Macaca mulatta: one gene and its partners. The protein of the gene in region 1 interacts with the protein of each later gene in a pairwise test. Links are inferred from orthologs where the notes say so. Each region holds a gene or a part of one and is shown on either strand. Other genes may lie near its edges. The genes, in order: STAU1, NXT1, LONRF1 and PPP1CA.

Region 1 (5,883 bases):
AGAATAAATTAACAAAAAAAATTTAGTATTACCATTTATTGGTGACAAACACTAAGTTTTACTTACATTCCATGGGGAGAAAAATTCCAGCGTAAACAATGAATGGAAGCAGTACTTAACTCGCAGGGCTACCAGGCTTTCCATATGGACCACACGCAGAGCCTCAGTGCACACACTTCTGTGTACAATAACACAACATCAAAAGCAACACAGCTGTATAGAGAAATGTAGGTCATTCTTTTCAGCCCTAATGGAGATGTAATTAACAGTATCGAGCACTCTGGAAAATCAGTCTGCAGGTTTATATGGACTACATGGAGATCATATCCTGTAGTGTAGTGAAAGCTAAGTCCTCAAGAGCTGTATGTATAGATACACAATTTTTTTTAATAATCTTTAAAACAGAGATCAAAGTTCATTTAAGTCCTGTTTGCATTAACAAAAATAAAAAAGAAATAAAAATGGAACCAAATGATCATCTAAAGTTTAAAATTCCTAAATTGTCCAATTTATACAACTGTGGGAGACTTATTCAAGGTTTTTGAAAGTCCAGGACTGTTTCAGCAGAACCAGAGGGCACACAATTTGCATCACTGAAATTGTCCTGGGTTAGTCAATTAAATAAAAATATCTAACCACATACACATGGATATGATCTTTGTCGGTTAGATTATTGATAAAGTCAGTCTCAGACAAGTTTCCAAACTGTGCTATATAACTAGATACAATTGAGAAACTCTCAAATGAAAATTTTATATAGTGTCATATCAATCAAAAGAAAATAATGAAACTAAGAATACAGATCACTGTTGGAAGATAAAGCAGTGGTGATGGTGTGGGTACTGCAGGAGGTGGTGGGGCCATAGCACGCTAGAAAAGTTGGGTCACGCTGAGTAGGAAGCATTTGATTTTCTCTGGTGCTTTTAGCTCTGGGGCCGGTCAAAGGCCTCTCTCTGGCATGGCTGTCCAGGGTTTGTCCCAATGTGTCTGAGTGAGCCAGCCTGAGAAAGGGTCATGCTGTTTCTTCTTTCACACAGGGGGAAAAAAAGACCAAACACGGAGGTGCCCAGGGTGTGGATCTGCTGGTGTCCCGGGAGAACCAGCTGGCTGGGCAGCCCTTCTTCCCCACAGGCAGCTGCTATTGCATAGGGACCACCAGGTCACCGAGTGGCCGTCACAACCCCAGCACAGTCCAGCCCGGCCACAGCCGCCGCCTCGTGTCTGTTGTCTTCCCTGCTGCTGCCCACATCCTTTACCCACCGTGTCTCTCGGCCCACTGGAGGTATCAGAAATTCCAAATTTTCAAAGCAGTTTCAGTATTTTCAGTATATATGTTGGGATTTTTTAATGGTTCATGGCCAGAAAAGGTTCAGCACCTCCCACACCTTTAAGGAAGAAAAATGAAAATGATGCTAGTTTTGAAATGTAAGAGAATTAAAGTACTATTAAAAATGAAAAGAAATTGGCAAGCATCAGGAAGTACAATATACAATACTAAAAGCCCCAGTTTATGATAACAAAAGTTTTCCCAGGATATGCCAGTAAATAAAATAAGCAAGGAGAGTGTGTGTATTTGCTATCTCTGCGGGGGGAAAGGAAGAAAATGAGGGAAGAAATATATGTCTATATTTGCATAAAGAAACATACAGGAAAGATACAGGAGAAACTAGTAAAAATGTGATCTATGGGGGAGGCAGTGGGAAGAATAGGAGGGATGGGATGGGGGCTGTCTGAGGAGAAGATTGTACCTTGTAAAATAAAAGAGAGCTCTGACCATGTGAAGGTATGACTGACTCAAAAAGGTAAAAAGGTTTTTTTTGTTGTTGAGACAAAGAGTCTTGCTCTGTCGCCTAGGCTGGAGTGCAGTGGTGCTATCTTGGCTCACTGCAACCTCCACCTCCCAGGTTTTAAGTAGTTCTCTGCCTCAGCCTCCCGAGTAGCTGGGATTACAGGTATTTGCCACCACACCCAGCTAATTTTTGTATTTTTAGTAGAGACAGGGTTTCACCATCTTGGCCAGGCTGGTCTTGAACTCCTGACACCTCATGATCCACCCACCTCGGCCTCCCAAAGTGCTGGGATTACAGGCGTGAGCCACTGTGCCCAGCCTCAAAATGTTTTTTAAAAGTAGAGCTCTCTGCCCAGAGAATTTGGAAACCTTTCAGGCAAAAGGGCCAGAAAGTAACTCAGGCAAATATTTCCCCGCTGAGTCAGCAGATGGTGTGAACTCAACACAAACGAGGGGCAGCCTCCCCATCATCAGTGCCTCCCCTTCATCAGTGCACTCACACAGACATTGGTCCGTTTCCTGTTCTTGGCATCTCTGTACTTTGTTGGTCCAACTCAGACAGCAACTTTAAGATGTTCAGCGCAGCCTAGTGGGGATGGAAAGAAGAGTAAAGCCACAGCCATCACTTGGGACCACAGCATGATACACTGGTTAGGCAGGCAAGAGTTCCTGCTGCCCAGCAAACAGGTGGCAACTTCTTAAACTCTTGTACTACTAAATAAAACTTTGAATTTTTAATTTAAAATACAAATTTAAAAAATACTCAGTTACCTCATTGAATCATAACCTCTGAAAATGTTGTATTTTGCCTTCTAGTATTTTTAGCCTTGTGGTAACCAGACTGTATAAATGTTATATCCTGCTTTCTAACAAAAATCTATCATGTATTTTTCTTTCTACAGAGACAGGGTCTCACTAAGTTAAGTTGCCCAGGCTGGGCTCAAACTCCTAGGCTCAAGCGATCCTCCCAAAGTGCTGGGATTACAGGTGTAAGCCTCCACACCCGGCCTATCATGTATTTTTCTTATTACGTTATCTTCAGAGACACTGTTTTGTTGTTTTGTTTTGAAACAGAGTCTCACCCAGTTGCCCAGGCTGGAGTGCAGTAGTGCGATCTTAGCTCACTGCAACCTCCACCTCTTGGGTTCAAGCGATTCTCCTACCTTGTCTCCCAAGTAGCTGGGATTACAGGCGCCCACCACCACACCTGGCTAATTTTTTTGTATTTTTAGTAGAAATGGGGTCTCACCACATTGGCCAGGCTGGTCTCGAACTCCTGAGCTCAGGTGATCCGCCCGCCTCAGCCTCCCGCAGTGCTGGGATTATAGCGTGAGCCACCGCACCCCACCCAGAGACATTAATTTCATGCATGCATGATGTCCCATCAAGTAAATACACCACAGTTTGCTTAGATTTGTTAATCTGATCAATTCCTTTTCTGAGTTTTCTTTTTTTTTTTTTTTTTTGAGACTGAGTCTTGCTCTGTCGCCCAGGCTGGAGTGCAGTGGCCGGATCTCAGCTCACTGCAAGCTCCGCCTCCTAGGTTTACGCCATTCTCCTGCCTCAGCCTCCCAAGTAGCTGGGACTACAGGCGCCCGCCACCTCGCCCGGCTAGTTTTTTGTATTTTTTAGTAGAGACGGGGTTTCACCGGGTTAGCCAGGATGGTCTCGATCTCCTGACCTCGTGATTCACCCGTCTCGGCCTCCCAAAGTGCTGGGATTACAGGCTTGAGCCACCGCGCCCGGCCCCATCTCAGTTTTCTTATAACAGTAATTTCATCTGAATAGAACACCAAAGCAAGTGGTTTTTACAGCTGCCAGAACATGGACCTGCAGTTCCTTGTTCTGGTGAGAGAGGAAGTGAGTGCAGTCTCCAGGTGAGCTGCAGGATCCCAGTCGCCCCTCCAGACCAGCAGGGAAAAGGGAAAGGTGGACTAAAGCTGATGAGTTCTGATCAAGAGTGAGAAATCAATCCAAGCAGTTATGACAAAAAGTCTTAAAAAATATGAACACTATCAAAGAATTAATTGTTCTCAAAGTCTATGGGAGAATCTTTCTCCCACATTCCTCAGGCTAGTAACAAGCTGAACCAAGGCAGGCTCCACATAAACACACAACTTAACACCCTAATCCCTCACCCAAGGTGTGACATACCATATCATGGCAGGACTCCACATCCTTGCCGATACCATGGCTGATCAGAGGTGGCTGAGAGGAGCAATTGATAAGAGATACAAATTCGTTCTTGTTGTTTTTGGGGAAGTCTTTGTATTCAACCTAAGGAGGAAAAGAGAGCTGAGGTTAGGTAGGGTAGGGAACAGCAAGTATGAGTGGGCTGAAGGGCTACAGCTCCGGGCCCCACAAGCAAGGAGATCACCCGCTCTTCTCTCCAACTCAGCCTGACTGTGGCTATACCAAGACCTGCTCTGTCAGCCCAGAACCTTCCAGGAACCTAGGTGTCTGCTCAGAAGCCCTAGACTGGGAGAAGCCATATCCTTTCCCACCAGGCAGAAGGTGTCAGCATGATGAGTCCGTTCTTTGAAATCCAAATTTACAACACTGCAAGTGGTTAGAAGCTTTGTTTTTAGGGTTGGCTTGCATTTTGAAATATTACTAAAGGATAAAGATGTTTCTCTTACCACATATGCTTACAATACTTCTATACCTCCTTCCCTGCCACCCTTCCACCACTGCTCCCCAACCCATCCCTGATTTAAGAAACAAAGTCCAAAGTTCATTTTCTGAGAGAAGCCAAAGGATGACTGTCCTGAGGCACAGCCATCACAGCTCAAGCCTGACAGTTACCTGGAATCCCTGGACTCTGGAAAGATAGTCCAGTTGTTCAGAGGGTCTCGTGAGAGGTCCATGGGGTACGTGGCCTGAAGAGATGTTATTCTTTAAAATGGTCTCGGCTGTGGGCGAGGTGCCCCCATACAACAACTCTCGGGCTATCATGGCAGTTACCGTGGCCTTGGCAGGATTTGGAGCTGCCCTGGTAAAATCTTTGGTGTGATGTCCTTGACTAACTCCTACAGCCTGGGCGACCTCGGGCACCATGGGAAGAATTCCAGCAGGCAGCTGCTGATGACTTAGGTAAGGCATCCTGAACTCATCCTCTTTATTACCTGGGAGGGACACACACGGTAAACACGAATCCACATCCACAGCCTGGAAAAACGCGATGACACCATCAAACCCCACGCTGGCCCTCCCCTTGCCATGCATGGCGGCGCAGGGAATCGGGGAATGATACAGACACTTTGCATGCAGGACCTCACTGGCTGGACTCCTGCTGTCATTCAGGACCCATGCAAATCCCAGAATCACGTTCAGAGGAAGATGATATTAAGATCACACTTACTAGTCCCATTTTCATCCCCAGAGCCAGGTTCAAAAAAGGTTACTTTTCTTCCATCCCCTGGTTTCTTTATGGGTGTCTTAAAAAAGAAACAAACAAACAAACAAAAAAAAAGGCATGAGCATAAATCAGATCATTGAAAAATTAGCTCCTGCTGTCTAAACCTGCATAAAATCCAATCAGCAATAACTGAGGCAATCGGCAGAAAAACCCTGCCCCACCTGACCACTGGCACGCTGACAGACACCTGGGCAGAGCCTGCCTCCTTCTCCTAACGCACCCTCCTGCCCACACCCCTGCCCACAAAGAGCATCTAACAAAGTGCACTAACCTGTGAATGCTGAGCTGCACTCTGCACCCACAGGAAGACGGGAAGCATTTAACCAGAAAGAGCAGAGATGCTAGACGGTAGAGCCCACCAAAGTGGGGAAAGAAGCTTTCAGACTGAAGCTAAACAAATAAATCAAGAATATTTCCTGGAGCTGATATCCAATTAAAAAATAAGGTGACATTCCAAAATTAACACCCTTATGGGGAAAATGTTATTACCTAAGAATTCTGTCAAACACTACCTCACCTTTCTACGAAGTAACAAAGGACACTATGAATGTCCTATAAGATTCTGAAATGAAAAACTCAAAATCCAAGTCTAAGATCTATACTGGTGGTATCTGGGGTCTCAGTCAGTTATTAACTGGCCACGACTGAAGCTGTTTCTCACTGTCAATACGACTGG
Region 2 (6,676 bases), about 41 Mb from region 1:
GAAAAAAAAGTGTTTTTGGTGTCAGTGCATGAGAGTCACAACTGCTTTGCTGTCACTGTAGGTCGACTGGCTCCAAGTCACACAGCCTCTCATGGCAAACAAATGCTGTTAAGATCCTGCACCAGAGAACAACATTGACAATGAGGGAAAAGATCAATCCTGTGTTTACAGACTTAAATATCCTTAAGTCAAGCCTGGGCGTCAGAGCTGCCAAGGACTCTGCCTGTGTGACCAGATGTGCCCGTCCTCCCCAGACGGACTTCATGCTGCACATGGGACCACTGGCTCCTTGGCTGCTTAAACCACTGGGCTCGTCTTCAGAAGGTGCCCGTGCAATTTGGTGACAAATCCCACCAATTTGTCAATACACTTCTTCCAAGTTTAAAAGCCAGTCATTGGAGGGATTGTTGGCAGATAAGGAAGCTGCTGTAGATGCAAAATGTCAAAGCATGATTCTGCTTTCCTAATGCTTTCTGGATGCTACTTCGTGCTCCGCCCCATATGAAGCACTTAGCGTTGCATTGTTTCCTTCGCTCCTCACGTCAGCCCAAGGAGATGGATTTGACCATTGCCCCTATTCTACAGAGGAGGCAGCTGAGCCCCAAAGAGGTAACTCACTTGCCACAGCCACCCTGCTAATGCTTAAGCCACACTAGTCAAGTTGTAAATAACTTTATGTTTATGCCCAATTTTAAATAGTATAAAAGATAAAAGGGATTTCCTGGCTCTTGAAACTAAAAAGTCCAAACTTGAGGGATGATTTGACTCCCAACATAGCCATCAAGAGCCTGATTTCTTCCCAGCTTTCCTGTCTGCCTCATCATCAAGGGTCTACCACTCAGGGCAGCAAGATGGCTGCAGCAGTGCTATCTACACACCATGGGTCCAGAAGGGAAGGGAGAAAAATATCCTTTCCCAGAATCCCTCAGCAAACACCTCCAGGCTCAATGGCCCTAATTGGGCCTCCCACCACCCTCAGCTGTGCTCAACGCATACAGTGCCAGTTGTATGCCCTTTGGAACCAGGGATGTCTCTGACCTCCCCAAACTCCAGGATCATAGGGGGAATAAAAGCCAGGGTTGCTTCCAAAGAGAGCAGGGAGTGTGTTGAGGACAGATCATCACAACCATGCAGTTGAGGAGCAATGATTTGAACCCAGGCTTGTCTGTTCATTCAGACAGTATTTATTGAGCCCTTGCTATGGGTCAGGCACAACTTTATATGCTGGAGACACAAACCTAAAAGGACCCTAACCTAAAAGGCAGACCCCACAAACCTACAAGGCAGAACAGCTGCCTCTCAAGGCTAAAGTCTCGCATTTTTAAAAGGCCTTGGAGCTTCATTAACGTTCTTCTAACGTCCTAATGTTCTTCTAACTAGCTTTTCTAGGTATGAATTGACCCTGTGACACCAGGATGGTTCTTTGTCAGCCTCTTTGTCTATAAAATCAGAAATAATGGTACCTCCCCCAATAAGTTATGTGAAAGAAATGAAAAGGACTTATTATATATGAAACAAAAGCAGCACAACATCCAAACTACTGAGCGTGCAGTAGATCAACTCTCATTCCCACTTCCATTCCATCCATGCCGATTTAGATCAATCCAAGTATCACTGCCTTGGGGTTCATAAAGTCATTTCAGTTCATAAAGCACCGTAAATGCTCCTTCACCCTCTCTGCTCAGCCTCCAACGTGTCCTTTTAATAATCCAAACTCTCCACCTACTTAACTGAAGTGTGTGCGTGGGGTGGGGGTGAGGGAGCGGGGGGGGGGGGGGGGGGAAGGGGTGGCCTATACTAAACAGCCCAACTGTTTTCAATGTGTCCTGAAATCTGAGACCAAGATTGTCTTAGGAATGCAAGCAAAGGGAGCCGATGGGACGCCAAGAAAGCACAGGTTAAACTACTTCACTTCATCTAGCCCCAGTTCTCTCCTGGCTTTGCAATTAATTTTTCAGCCTCAGACCAGCAGATGGAGCTGAAAATGTTGTCTAAAGAAATGAGGTTTTTCTTTTAATTTACAAGCTACAGTTTCTCAAACCTCCACACTGAATGGTTATATCCTGTTGAGCCTGTTGGTAAAGTTCAGTAAAAATCCAGTCCTCATTCCAGAACAGCTGAAACTTAGCTAGGGACGCGGAATAACAGAATCCCAACTCCTGACGGGCCCGCGTTTCCCGGGACACCTCAGGCCTCAGGGCAGTGGGAAGCCGCCGTCAAGCCCCCGCCTCACCCACGTCCTACCCTCGCCCCAGTCTCCTCCCACTCTTAGCTACATTTCCCATGTGACTAAAACTGGCTTCCTCTGTGTCCACCAGGACATCGCCTCTAAGTGGCTTAAGCTCCTAAGGAGCGCGATCGGCTCAGGCACTCCGCCACGCGCATGCCACAGGCGCGGCCGGCCTTGCCCTCGCTGTGGCCTCAAGCACCGCGGCGCCTCACATGTTGCCATACGGAAGGCCTCGGCGGGGTCAGGCAGCTGCTGCTGGCCGTGACTGCATCAAGTAGTGACGTTTCACGAGCCTTTTAACTGAAATCACTCCAATACAAGGGCATGCGGGACTAGGTGAAAGCACTTCACCCAACCCCACACAACGTCCCCTCCCTCTCCAGCCAAGCGGCCTCCTCGCAGCGGAAAGAACAGCGAGGATCTAGGGGCGGGACCTGAGAGGTTTGGCCCAATCAGGGATCCCACCTAACCAGACGGGCCGGGGTCTGTGACCCTGTTGGGCCAATAAAAACTCGACGGCGGATTTGCCGGGGTTTCTGGGAAGGTGACACTCCCGGAAGCTACCACCTCTTATAAGCCACACACGGGCGGAGATAGCCTTCCGGCTCGCAGTCCCACTGGCTAACCTCGCTGCCCGTCACGGGAATGCGAGAGGGGGCGGGGCCGGAGCGCTCGCGTCTGCGCGGAGTCCGGCTAGCAGCGCGCGGGAAGCCGCGGAACTGCGCCGGAAAGTCCCCAGGCTGTGGGGCCCCGGTGACCCGGAGTAAGCCTCCAAGAAGGAAGAGGAGGGAAGAAAGGCGGCTCTTCCCGTGCCCCTACCCGAGGCCTCGGTGGGCCCACCCTGTGACCTCCGCGGCCGGCCCCTCGGTGGAGCTGCGGCCCGCGCGGGGGGCATCGCGACCGTGGGCGCCGCGGCCCGCGCTGACCCTGGACGTCGCCGCGCAGGTAGGTTGCAGTCCCCCCGGCGGTCTGACCCCGGAGACAGCCTCTCGTGCATACCCCACGCCCTCCTCCATTGTCGGGAATAAGACACGGCTGTACCTTTGTCCACGTGGTAGAGTTGCCTCTCTACTGTGCAAAACGCGTGGCAGCGAATTCTCTTCAATGAGGAGAGGCGCGTCCCCTCGCAGAGCAGCTCTCGGGTCTGAGGAGGGCAGGGCAGGGCGTGCGTCTGTCTAGGTTTGAATTAAAGGCGACTCGCAGGAAATAAGACCATGCCACTGTGGTAGCTTCTCCCGTCCAGCTCTGGACATTCGACGGTGCGGGCCGTGGGAGGAGGCGGCGATCTTCACAGCCTCTTACTCCAGTCCTCAAGGTCTGGTTCTTTTTCTGATTTGACGCAGCGGGGCTGACAGCCCCATAGGTAACTGAGAACCAAAAGTGGAGATGGTCCTTCTATGGAGTGTGGGGGCGTGGCCAATTGTTAGATTGTGTTTGGAAGGACAGCCAGGGGCGGGGAAGAGGGGCATTTCTGAGATGATGGGGGGACTGGTGCCATGGAGGGAAGAGGAGTGAGGTGGAGATCGGGAATTCCAGCCAAAGAGAAATGGGGTCCTGGGAGAAAATTCCCACTCCGGCAGTCCTGGAGTTGTCCTCATGGAGACTTGCTTACGCGAGTAAAAGGACAGCATCGTCTTGACAAAATTTCAGCCCTCAGTCTAGTCTTGTAAATGATAGATCAGGAATGCTCTTAACCGTCATTACCTTGATCCAGCCCTAGGTTTCCCTTTTCTCATTTGTAAAATTGTTATAGTAATACCTTTTTCATTCATTTGTGGTGACATTTAAATGAGGTAATATATGTGAAGCTCTTAGCAAACACAGCGCTGCTTCTTCGTGGGTTCCGCGTGGGGTGGATTCAACCAACCTCAAATCAAAAATACTCTTCAGAAAAAGAAAAATGCCTTTGTACTGAACATGTAGAGGCTTTTTTTTCTTGTCATTATTTCCTAAACTATACAGTATAACAACTATTTACATCCCTTCTACATTGTATTAGGTGTTATAAGTTACCTACAGGTGATTAAGGTACATAGGAGGATGCTGCGCATACGTTGTATCAAACAGTACACCGTTCTATCAGGGACTTCAGCATCAGCAGGTGTTGGTATCCTCGGGGGTCCTGAATCCAGTTCCTCACAGATACCGAGGGACCGCTGTACTTAGTTCAGAGTACAGTTGAGGCTTCACTTTGAGGTCTGTGGAGGGCGTGGAAAGACCCAGGTCTGAAATTGGCTCTTAACTGCTCATTTTTAGGACAGCTTCCCTCCCAGCCAGCCCTTTACCAGAGGCAATGCACCACCTTTGCAGCCGTTATAAGAACCTGGCTCTTTCCAGCCCTATGTGGAATGTTTTATCGCTTTCATAAGCTAATCATTTAAAAAAAAGGTCTTTTTTTGAAATGAAAAAAAAAAAAATCACTATTTAAGTTTGTAAGTATAAACTATTTTAGTAATGTCCTCTATTTTAGTAATCCAGTATTTTAGTAATGTCTTCTATTTTAAGTGAAATATTTTAATTATGGAGAAAATAACATAACAGTTGTACCTGTACCCTGAAAAAAGTAAATGTCAATTTTTTTTATGCTTTTTACTTTTTTATTGGGGGGACAGTGTGACATTTCAGCTATAGTACACATTCTGTGCCCACACACCCAAGAACTTTGAAATTTAACATGTCTTTCTGTGGAGGCACTGTGGCTCCACAGGACTGATGTGGTGGATATTAGTACCTATGTAAGCTGGGTGTCCTCCCTTCTAATCCCCACTCACCCAAGAGGTTTGCTGCTTCCAGCTTACCATGGGGATTATGGCTGCCATTTTGGTTCTGTCCTCATGTCATTTGTGTTTCTACCCTCTTAAGAAACCTGCCTTCTCTGCCCTCCTGGTTCCTCTTGAGTGAGCTCCATGATAGACTTTCCCAGACTCAGCAGCTGACGAGCATTTCGTTGGTTTGGTTGGCCTTTATTGAGCCAGTGACCACTCTTCCCTTCTAAATGGTCCACTGTCTTTACCAAGGGGCAGTCATGTCTGTTGCAAGCATTCAGGAAAGAGTGGCCTTCCATAGTCAAATGTACTCTATTTTATAAAGTGTGATTTAAAAAATTAATGGTCCAGTCAGCCCTCCTCATCCTCTGGGAATTGATTCCAGCAGTCCCCCTACCCCTGCAACAGACCAAATCTGCTGATGCTCCAAGTCCTTGATATAAAATGGCGTTAAGGCCAGGCACGGTGGCTCATGACTGTAATCCCAGCACTTTGGGAGGCTGAGGCGGGCAGATCACCTGAGGTCAGGAATTTGAGACCAGACTGGCCAACATAGCGAAACCCTGTCTTTACTAAAAATACAAAAATTAGCCAAGCGTGGCGGTGGGCACCTGTAGTCCCAGCTACTTGGGAGGCTGAGGCAAGAGAATCCCTTGAACCTGGGAGGTGGGGGATTGCAGTGAGCCGAGATCACGCCACTGCACTCCAGCCTGGGTGACAGAGTGAGACTCAGTCTCAAAAACAAAAACAAAATGGCATAGCACAGTCAGCCCAATATATTTGCAGGTTTCGCCCTGAGGTTGCTTGAATCTGTGGATGCAAAACCTTCAGATATGGAGTGCTGACTATAACTAAATGTTTTTAACTAAACACAATGTATACTGTCTCAGTTTGCCACAGTGGTAATCCCATCTTAACAATGAGCAAACTGAGGCTTAGTAAAATTAGACATTTAGGTGTTGGGTACTATTTGAGCCTACAGTCATTGTTCTGCAGTCTGTAACTATTTTGCCAGTAGTAGAAAAGGAGGAATGTTCCATTGTCAGGGCAGAATGAACTTTGGCATTCACATGGGTTCTCTTCAACCTTACTTCCCTGCAGTCCCTGATTCCCCAAGGCAGAGGAAATACCCTGGTGGAGCCCTTCTCCCATAGAACCAGAAATGGCATCTGTGGATTTCAAGACCTACGTGGATCAGGCCTGCAGAGCTGCTGAGGAGTTTGTCAACGTCTACTACACCACCATGGATAAGCGGCGGCGTTTGCTCTCCCGCCTATACATGGGCACAGCCACCCTGGTCTGGAATGGCAATGCTGTTTCAGGACAAGAATCCTTGAGTGAGTTTTTTGAAATGCTGCCTTCCAGCGAGTTCCAAATCAGTGTGGTAGACTGCCAGCCTGTACATGATGAAGCCACACCGAGCCAGACCACAGTCCTTGTTGTGATCTGTGGATCAGTGAAGTTTGAGGGGAACAAACAACGGGACTTCAACCAGAACTTCATCCTGACCGCCCAGGCGTCACCCAGCAACACAGTGTGGAAGATCGCAAGTGACTGCTTCCGCTTCCAGGATTGGGCCAGCTAGTGGGGGTGGCAGAGGTCTCTGCTTCATTCAGCCCTAGCTCTGTAGAGAAATGCAAACCTCAACTCTCAAGGATATGAGGAACACAAGTTCATTTCT
Region 3 (5,883 bases), on another chromosome or scaffold:
AAAAATGAGACTACAGCACACCAGAGACTAAAAGGCATACTTTTTACTTCGGAAAGATGTGAAGTGAAAACTAAAACTAAAGTTTAAAGAGCATCTGCTTTTTGCATAACAATGTGACTATACTTAATGCCACTGAAGTGTGCACTTAAAGATGGTTAAAATGGTATATTTTATGTATATTTTACCACAATAAAAATAAACTTTTAAAAAAGGTAGAGGAGCCACACAATTGAAGAATTGTGGCCCTGAAATGACTACACAAGATTTGGGCCGTTGCTAACATACACTGACAGGAGCAAGAAACAAAACTTACGACTTGTTTAATCTTTTTTTTTTTTTTTTTAAGCATCTACTCTGCACCCTCACAAAATTCAAGAAAACAAATGACAGGCTCTAGTAAACAAGCAATGATAACAATTATAAGAGTCTGTGATGACAAACGGAGCTGGCCAAAAAGCAGGCAGAGACTTTAAAAGCGTCTCTGCCTGCTTTTTGGCCAGCTCCCTTTTAAAAGCAAGCTTTTAAAGTCAAAGTACTTTACTGTGATAATTTTAACAGATTTTAAAATTTCATTAGAAGTCACAGAAAACAGAATTATTATAAGAAGAGGAAAATTTGCTATAAAAAACAAATCTGAGAAGGTTTTCCAGAATGGACAAGAAAATCACTATATAGATGAAGACATTATGATGAGGAAAAATTACTGGACATTCCGAGGACCACAAAGAGGACTCAAGTTTATAAATAATTTATAATTATAAAAAAATTTATAAAAAAAATTTATACAAGTTTATAAATATCAAATCTGTGATACTTTTAGAATGTGATTCCATTGCCTACATGTTTATAAGTATTAATACATATAGTCATGTAATTTAGCCATATACTCAAGTGATTTTGTCATCAAATCCAATATGTGAAGATATAACTTTACATGAAACTGAAATAGGGTTATTAACTTTACAAAGGAGAACCTTTAGCAAGTGATTCCATTAATTAAGTATGCTTAAGGTTGGCACAGATTATACCAATCAACTCAAAATTTCAACTTACACAATACTTTTGGCCAACTGCACAGGGCAAAGTACCCCAATGCATTTTTATAATAAGATAGGACAGCCAATGTCAGACTAATCAGGTTTATCAGCAGAGAGCCAAATGGCATAATGCTAAAGCTCAGAGCCTGAGTCAGAGAGTTTGCTTTAATCATTTTTGTTACATTATAGGATCTTAGGCAAATTAATTAACACCTCTGAATTATACTTTCCTCATAGAGTTGTGAAAATTCTATGAGTTAATGTTTGTGAAAATACCTAATGCCAATATCCAATAAATGTTGACTGAAATGAAGGGCCTAAACAGATCAATGAACAAGTGACGGGATAAGATCTGTTTTTATAATGCCTTTCCAAAAGAAATTGCCTTCAATTTGGTATTTATAGCATCACAAGTCATTTTTCTGGTTCCTAAACTAACTGCAGTAGGTAAACTGGGTATTGCAAACATCAAAAGGGCCACATTAACCCTATTCTAGAAAGACATCACAAAACCGCTACCCTGCTAAGATATCACCAACATGTACACTGACAGTGCTTTCTATGTCTGCCCCAGGGTCTTCACACAGCATTCAACTCTATTTTATCATTAAGGTTATCTTAGGCACAAGAACAATCTGAGTATATAAAACAATTCTTACAAGACTTGATGTGTTTACATTTACATGAAGTTTCAATCTACTAATTCCATCAGCTTCAACTACTAATACATTCAATAAAACAGGGCAGAAATGTAAACCTTTCAAAACTTAGATGGGCTGGAAGTTCAACTTAACCACTATTAAGTACCTATCATGTGTATACACACATGCACATGTGTACATATACACATACATTCTAGGGCACTGGGCTGGTTGTTAAGCCTGTAGAAATAAAGAGAATCTATGTTCTAGTCTTCCAAGTTCTCTCAGAATGTGCAACAACTGCAGAGCAAGATACGAAAAAGGTAACTTGGAGCGCATTCTCAACAGTGGTAAGGCTCTCTGATAAGAAGAACTGGTTCATGCGCCTAGAAAATAGCCTGCATGCCTGTACCAATCCCTGGAACAGGATACACTAAAGTATGCTGGCAAAGCATATTTTAAAATACCTTAACATCTTCCAGATATTCAATGTCGGCAGTGCAATATCCATCTTTCATTCCTCTTTTTAAAACCCTAAACCGCTTTCCTCCAACTGTATCAACCACAGACCTTCCATCAGGTAAGAAATGCACATTTCTAATTTGTAACATACAACCATAATCTGCAAAACTAAAAGAAAACCTTGATTAGTAACAAAGTGGAAACATAAACATGCAAGTTCTCATCCATATTGACAGGTCTAACATAAATACAAATATTTTAGTTCACAAAAAGCATACCTATTTTGTGTATCACTGACACACATGCCAAACTGTTTGGTTCCAGTCTGTATACTTCTTCGAATCATCAATCTATATCTTGGCTCAAATACATGGAGAGGGCAAGGCACAGTGGGGTAGGCCATAGTGCAAACAAATATTGGAACATTCTTGGTCAAGCTGAGGGAAAAACAGTTTAATTATTGAGTTCATACAAGAAAAATATTACCAAACACACACAAAAAATGAGTGAGGTTTATAACAGTAATGAACTAATGTAAAACAAAAAAAGAATAAGTTCTAAATAAGGTGGTTTTTATTCTTGGCAAGAACAAGAATCAGCACCCCGTTCATTAAGCTCACACTGATGAAATATTAATACTAAAAATCTGCTGTGATCCTCTTACTTATAAATTGAATTTTAAGACACCAGATTATCTTACAGAGCTAAGTATCTTTATGAATCAATTTATTATAATATTTTATATTAAAATCTGTTTAAATATTTATAACATATGACAATAAATATCTTTTATCCAAACACTTATAGTTACTCTTAGATAACAGTAAGAAAAAGTGAACTCCCACAACAGACAAAAAGCAAATAATTAAAAATTCTTAGGCATTAAAGTATTTTCAAACGCAAGATCAGAAAACATATTCTGATGAGATAACATTTTTTCCAAGTAATTAAAATGATATAACATTTTTCATTGCCAGAGTGGTAGAAAGAAAGAGAAGGATAAAGGCAATGCCCAGTCCTGTCTTAGATATGGGAAAACTGGCAGCATGGGGGCAGTCTGAAACAGCACAGGCACACTAAAGAACATGGCTACAGAGAGCAGAAACCTTATGTTGTTGGCAGGAAATGTTCATGTTCTTGGAACCAACCAGCTTATTTTCAGACATGAGTGGACAAGTGCTACATGAATGTTCACTGTAGCAATATAGGTAGTAACCAAAATGTAGAAGCATAAAGAGGAGACTAGTAAGATCAATTATGGTACATCGGTAAAACAGAATACTATGTTTCCATTAAAAGATGATGTGTATGAACTGAATTAGAAGAAATGCTTATATCAATGAGAGGAACAGGTTTTAGATATAGATCATGAATAACATGATCCCACCTTTGTTTAAAGCCTGTTTATACATACTGCATTCAAGTTTGGAAATACGTATGTCAAAATGCCAATAGTTGATTCCCTTTGGGTTGCAGATTATGGCTTTTTTTAAAATGCTCATTTGTATTTTTGAGTTTTTTTCAAAATGACCATCAATTACTTATATACACATAAGATGAAACATGTTTAAAATATGTATTTTAAAAAACAGCCTCGTTAGTAAGCAGCTGGACACCCTGACGCTTCTCTTCTCTCCAACACGCAGCTCTCTGTGTGCGACTCCCTCCTCTGTCCTTTGAGTCTACCACTCCTCTGTGGGCGGGCTGGTTGTGTCACTGTGTTTAAATTTGCAAAAGTCAAACTGCAGCTTTCTTAAATCTAGATGCTTCAGCATTGATCAGAAAGGTTCATGATTGTCACATCAGAGTATTTTGTAAATCACACAATAAAATACCAATTCTGTAAGAAGACAAATCAATATCTATTTCTATAAAGAAAAGAGTGGCAATCTTTCTTCTACGAGGGCCCCTGGCTCACTGAAGACATCTGATGGACACAGGTTGAAAAAGGAGAGTCTACAAGCACAGCTTTTGTTAGAAAGTGACATATAAAATGTTCAATTTATATTTTGAAAAGTAATGGAAACAAAAAGTTGTTAAATAAATAAAACAGCATACAAAAATTATAATTTTGCTTTTTAGTGTGTTCAATTAAAAGAGAGTAAAAGAAATAAAGAAATTTAAAACCCATGAATAAAATTTAAAGAGACCCAAGTGACTGGTCAGAGGGAAAGACATTTAGGGAAAAGAAAGGGAGAAAAATGGGAAAGAAAAACAGAAAAGAGACAACGAGCAATGCCTTGCCCTGCCTACCCAGCTCCATCAGCTGCTGTGTTCTCTGCGGAGTGGTCTGAATTACCAAATCCCAAAGTTACCTCTGAGATTTTCACCCTCCCGACACCAACTCAGTTGTGCTCCCAGTCAGTATCTTCATTAAGGGAGGATTTGGCCCTGAACACCTCTCTTCCAATTTCAATCTCAGATCTCAAAGTTTGGAAAGCCCCTTCCGGGCCTCCATGTGACAGAAAATCCCCTGCCAATCTAGGTTACTGACCCTAGACCTTCCTCTCGCCCTACTATGACACATGAGAGCTGCCATCACCACCAATGTCACTGTCACTGGCGCCCCCTCTCTATTTCCCATTCCACTGCCTGATGGCACTGTAGGAAATTCCTCCTCCGCCTAAAATACTGCTTCAGCCCACAGAGCTGAGTCAACCACTCCCTGTAAAACATCCGGATGTTACCAAGTGAACTTTTATAAAATTCTGTCTGTTGAGGACCACAGAAACTGACCAGTACTTCTTGACTAGACTGAGATGAACTACAGACAGGATCCAGCTTGCGGTGAGGTTTTCCCTTACTATTAAAGGGTAGTAGTTCATAATTTTTTTTTTATGAGAAGAAACTTACTGTGAGAGTTCAGCAGTTTCTTCATCATATATTTTTTTTCTCTCAGACAGTTCATCAGGCAGATACTTCACTATTAATTCTTCCAACAGCTGTGTGACACAGTACCTCCTATCTGCTAGATACTAAAAGACAATATTATTTTACATTCCAGCAGTGGTTTTCCTACAGTATAAAACAGGCAACACAGTTAACTGATATATTAAAGCCTTTATTACATATTTATACCATCAATTCTGGATTAATTAGTGAGGGGAACATTACAATGGATGATGCTAAGCAAAAAAACCTGTCTAAGGCTTTGCTCAAGAGCATTAAAGATAGTTGGCTGCAACCTGAACCAAGTCCTGTACAGAAGAACTGCTTCCTGCTGTGACCACAGCTCCTCTATGAGCTGCAGAGGGCCCTGCCCCGCTGTCTTCCATAACAGAGGCCCTTTTCCATCTGACAGCTCATGGGCACTAAACTGTCATTTTAACTGAGATACAAAAAGGAGATAAGGAATAAATAAAATAACACATTTGCCTTATATAAGAAAAGCAAAACATCTGTTCTGTTCCCAGTTTCAGACACAGTCTCTAGATAATTTTTCTTTCAGATTTTTCTTCCATTGTCACCCACTACTGAGTAGAGGAGTGGACCTCGACTCTGTCCTTGAGTGACCCAAGGACGGTGCGTTTCTTGGGACACTATCACTCAGACCTTATCAAGATATTGCTTTTCCTATACGATCCATCCACCCCAGCTCTATATAAAATCGTACATTTGCGCTGCCCCCTAAATATTCTGAAAAAGTACTATCCTCGTGCATTTTTGTGTCATTCTCTATTCCAACTTATAAGTCATCTCTTTCACTCCTGCCTATGAAAAACATGTCTATCCTTCAAGGTCTG
Region 4 (4,158 bases), on another chromosome or scaffold:
GGTAAAAGAGACGCCACGGTCGTTCTCGCCCCAGCCCTGCACGTCCTTGTCAGGGTCAGACCACAGCAGGTCACACAGCAGGCCCTGGTCAGGCACGTCTGTGGGCCGCATGATCCGCCGAATCTGCTCCATGGACTGCAGGTCCGGGGAGAGGCCTGGAGGGCCAGAAGGAAGGTCACTTCCTCAAACAAGGACATCCTTCCTCCAGGAAGCCTTGGCCAGTGAGCCTCACCTTTTCCACCACCCTCCTGGTCCCTCCACTGGTCTCCTGGGTGCCTAGGCAGGCAGAAGCCATCCCCTTCCCCTCAGCTTTTTCAAGTTCCCAAACAGGCACAAAGGCGCCCCTGGCCTCCGGAGCACAGAGCTCCTGGGAGAAAGGAGACAAGCCCGCCCCATGTAGGATGCACATCAAGGAAGTGAGTGCAGCCCAGCACAGGGGGGTATGGGAGACACTTCCTGAAAGGAGTGACTTCCCAGATGACAACTAAGGAGAGCTCACCTCCGTGGCAGCAAAAGATCTTTTCGTCCACTATGGCCGCAATGGGCAGGCAGTTGAAGCAGTCAGTGAACGTTTTCCACAGTTTGATGTTGTAGCGTCTCTTGCCTGCCCAGAGGGAGGTAGCTGTGAGGGGTCTGCCTGCTCCACCCTTAGCCGGGGTCTCTGGGCTATTCAGCCGCAGATGGGAGAGAGTCAGGCACCAATGCAAACCACCCCCACCCCTGCCGCCTGTCAGCCTTCCAGGAGTAATTCTAGTTACTTTTTATTTTAATTTGTAATTTAAACAAACAGGATCTGGGCAGGGCATGGTGGCTCACACCTGTAATCCCAGCACTTTGGGAGGCTGAAGCAGGCAGATCACCTGAGGTCAGAAGTTCAAGACCAGCCTGACCAACATGGAGAAACCCTGTCTCTACTAAAATACAAAAAAATTAGCCAGGCGTGGTGTCGCATGCCTGTAATCCCAGCTACTCGGGAGGCTGAGGCAGGAGAATCGCTTGAACCCGGGAGATGGAGGTTGTAGTGAACTGAGATCACACCACTGCACTCCAGCCTGGGCAACAAGAGCGAAACTCCGTCTCAAAAAAGTAAAGAAACAGGGTCTTGTTCAGTCACCCAGGCTGGAGTGCAGTGGCAAGATCATAGCTCACTGTAACTTGGAGCTTCTGAGTCCAAGTGATCTTCCCGCCTCAGCCTCCCACCAGAAGTAATTCTAAAGCACCCGAGTCCACTGGAAACTGAGTTCCAATCTGGACCAGCCTCAGGGTTGGCACTCCTTGCACGCCCCGGCCCACGAGCCGGGCCAAGTACAGGTCTGGTTTATCTCAGCTTCTGGACAGCAGAGCTCATCTGCAAACATCCTAAATGCTTAGTAGCAAATGTAGAGGGAACGTCACCAGGCAGGGCCCTGGGGGAAAGCACTAGAATACGGACAGTCCTTCAGTCAGCAACCATTCCCCAGACCCCATGCCAGGAGGGGCAGGGCAGGCACAAGAACGGACCTGGGCCCTGCCTTCGTGGAGTGCACAGTCTAGCAAGTGTCTGTCAGATATCAGGCCAATGTGAAGGTCCCACTGAATGACAAGGAGTGTGGTTCAGGACCCGGGCAGCCCCAGACGCTCAGACCACTCACACTCATCGTAGAAACCGTAGATGCGGTTGATGCTGGCGCACTCGTGGTTCCCACGGAGCAGGAAGAAGTTCTCGGGGTACTTGATCTTATAGGCCAGCAGCAGGCAGATGGTCTCCAAGGACTGCTTGCCCCTGTCCACATAGTCCCCCAGAAAGAGGTAGTTGCTCTCCGGAGGGAAACCGCCATACTCAAATAGTCGCAGAAGGTCATAGTACTGGCCGTGTATATCACCTGTGACCCAGGGAATCGGGTAAGCTAGATGCAGGGTCTAGACCTGAACCCAGGACCAGGACTGGGCTCAAGGGAGGAGGACTCCAGGAACTCTGTGGGGGCCAGTGCCACTTTCAGGAAAGCAAGGGGACCTGGGTCGGGGGGCTCACCGCAGATCTTGAGGGGTGCCTCCAGCTCCAGAAGAATGGGCTGGCTCAGGAAAATCTCCCGGGATTTCAGGCACAGGCCGCGGATCTCGTTCTCTGTCAGCTGTACATTCTTGCCAGGCCGCGAGCCCTGCACTGGGGGCGCAATGGGGTGTCAAGACCCGGGACCCTGACAGGTGGAGGGTGGGCGACACGGGTGGCCCCATGGATACCTCCGGGGGCGCCTAGGCCTCCTCGGCCGCTCCTTGCCCGCAGGCAGCTGTTGCTGCTGAGCCTCCCGGGACCTCGGCCTCAAGCCTCCCAAGGGAAGCCCCCAACTACCCTCAGCGCCTCGGGAGGCGACTGTCGTGCGCAGGGGGCTGCCACCCAAACACCTCACAGCGCAGGACCCCTTCCTGGACCGGGCTTCCCGGGTTTCTCCCTCGCCTCAAGAACCCAGGCAACCCGTGCGCCCCCGGCCCGGGAGAGGGGGCTGCTCCGCGCGTCGGAGCGGGCCCAGGACCTCTCAGGCGCGTCCGCGGGGGGGCGGCTGCGGCCACCGAACCTCGCGGCCCGTCCCCGCCCAGTCTAAGCTGGCCCCGGGGGCCCGCCCGCGCGCCACTTCCGGGCCCGGCAGGGGGCCCGGGAGCGGCGGACGCAGGCCTCCCCCGCCGCGACCAACCTTCTAGCAGGCGCCCGATGATCGAGTCAAGGTTGAGCTTCTCGCTATCGGACATGGCGGCGCCGCCGCTCCAGCCCAGCAGCTCCGGGCCCGCTCCTGCCTCCCGCCCTCCGGCAGCCTCCTTCCGGCCTGGCTCTCCTTCCGCCCGCCCCAGTCCGCCCCCGGCCCGCGGCCCCGCCTCCGGGCCTCCCGGGCCCGCCCCGCCCGGTCCCCCGCGCTCTAGCGCCCCCGCTGGACGTGAAGCGCCGCGGCCTGGGGGGCGGGGCCTTGGCGGCGGGGTCTGTCGGGGGCGCGTCCAACTGGTTACGCCCCAGAGGAGGCGCCCAGCCCGGTTCAGAGGATGTGGGGCCGGAAGAACTGTGGAAGTTGTTTTTCTCTTTCAAAAGCAGAACAGCCGTTCCCACCCCTGCCCTGGGTGGAGGGTGTTGTGAATATATTAATAACCGGCTGCTAGGCACTGAGGGTTAACTGCTCGAAGTGCAGGAAAGGAAACTGAGGCTCAAGAGATATGAACAGACTGGTGCAAGACCTGGACCTCGCATTCACGTACGACCCCCTTTTTCGTGGGTCTCCGTGGCCCCCAGGCGGCTGACCACACTCAAAGACAGCTACGGCTGAACTTCCAGCGCACTTTGGTCCTTGGGGCATGATAAATTAATATTTTCTTACAAGTCCCATAATTAGCTTTTATTTATTTATTTTTTTTGAGACAGAGTTTTGCTCTGTCGCCTAAGCTGGAGTGCAGTGGCGCGACTTTGGCTCACTGCAACATTCGCTTCCCAGGTTCAAGGGGTTCTCCTGCCTCAGCCTCTGGAGTAGCTGGGATTGCAGGCGCGCGCCACTGCGCCTGGTTTTTGTGTGTTTAGCAGAGGTGGGGTTTCGCCATATTGGCCCGGCTGGTCTTGAACTCCTAACCTCAAGTGATCCACTGGCCTCGACCTCCCAAAGTCCTGGGGGGGTTACAGGCGTGAGCCAACAAGCCTGGCCCCATAATTAGCTTTTGAGTAGCACAGTAATATTGCAGGGTGTGCACGTAAAAAGAATTACTATATGAGCAGACATGGCTGGGTGCAGTGGCTCACGCCTGTAATTCCAGCGCTTTGGGAGGCTGAGGTGGGAGGATCGTTTGAGGTCAGGAGTTCAAGACCAGCCTGGCCAACATGGTGAAACCCCATCTCTCTAAAAATACAAAAAGTTAGCTGGGCATGATGGCAGCCGCCTGTAATCTCAGCTATTGGGGAGGCTGAGGCAGGAGAATCACTTGAACCTGGGAGGCGGAGGTTGCAGTGGGCCAAGGCCCATTGCACCCCCTAGCCGAGGTGACAGTGTGAGACTCTGTCTCAAAGGAGCAGACGATAAATTAACCTTAATTCTTGTTGGAACCCTGAGTTGGGTGCTTTACATGCCAGTAACCTCAGAACTGGAGGTGGGCCTGCTGTGGCGGCTTAGGCCTGTAATTCCAGCACTTTGGGAGGCTGAGGTGGGATGG

The links.
Region 2: the proteins of STAU1 (region 1) and NXT1 interact in binary tests that used the Homo sapiens proteins (3 or more experiments, as listed by UniProt). The two-hybrid records come from large-scale screens. The link is inferred for Macaca mulatta from reciprocal best matches to the Homo sapiens genes STAU1 and NXT1.
Region 3: the proteins of STAU1 (region 1) and LONRF1 interact in binary tests that used the Homo sapiens proteins (3 or more experiments, as listed by UniProt). The two-hybrid records come from large-scale screens. The link is inferred for Macaca mulatta from reciprocal best matches to the Homo sapiens genes STAU1 and LONRF1.
Region 4: the proteins of STAU1 (region 1) and PPP1CA interact in a two-hybrid assay, tested with the Homo sapiens proteins (2 studies listed by BioGRID and IntAct). The link is inferred for Macaca mulatta from reciprocal best matches to the Homo sapiens genes STAU1 and PPP1CA.

Annotation. Positions count from the first base shown.
Region 1 is NC_133415.1:101,926,621-101,932,503, forward strand, and holds part of STAU1 (double-stranded RNA-binding protein Staufen homolog 1), read right to left. Parts: intron 5,227-5,883; coding exon 5,151-5,226; intron 4,915-5,150; coding exon 4,595-4,914; intron 4,067-4,594; coding exon 3,944-4,066; intron 2,376-3,943; coding exon 2,290-2,375; intron 1,386-2,289; coding exon 1,370-1,385; 3' UTR 1-1,369. UniProt on the Homo sapiens protein: Binds double-stranded RNA (regardless of the sequence) and tubulin.
Region 2 is NC_133415.1:60,679,589-60,686,264, reverse strand, and holds the start of NXT1 (NTF2-related export protein 1), read left to right. Parts: upstream 1-2,849; 5' UTR 2,850-3,175; intron 3,176-3,271; exon of another isoform or gene 3,272-4,921; intron 4,922-6,096; 5' UTR 6,097-6,157; coding exon 6,158-6,580; 3' UTR 6,581-6,676.
Region 3 is NC_133413.1:13,032,044-13,037,926, forward strand, and holds part of LONRF1 (LON peptidase N-terminal domain and RING finger protein 1), read right to left. Parts: intron 5,116-5,883; coding exon 4,994-5,115; intron 2,578-4,993; coding exon 2,419-2,577; intron 2,309-2,418; coding exon 2,146-2,308; intron 1-2,145.
Region 4 is NC_133419.1:6,982,013-6,986,170, reverse strand, and holds the start of PPP1CA (serine/threonine-protein phosphatase PP1-alpha catalytic subunit), read right to left. Parts: upstream 2,801-4,158; 5' UTR 2,725-2,800; coding exon 2,670-2,724; intron 2,144-2,669; coding exon 2,012-2,143; intron 1,863-2,011; coding exon 1,632-1,862; intron 605-1,631; coding exon 500-604; intron 156-499; coding exon 1-155. UniProt on the Homo sapiens protein: Protein phosphatase that associates with over 200 regulatory proteins to form highly specific holoenzymes which dephosphorylate hundreds of biological targets.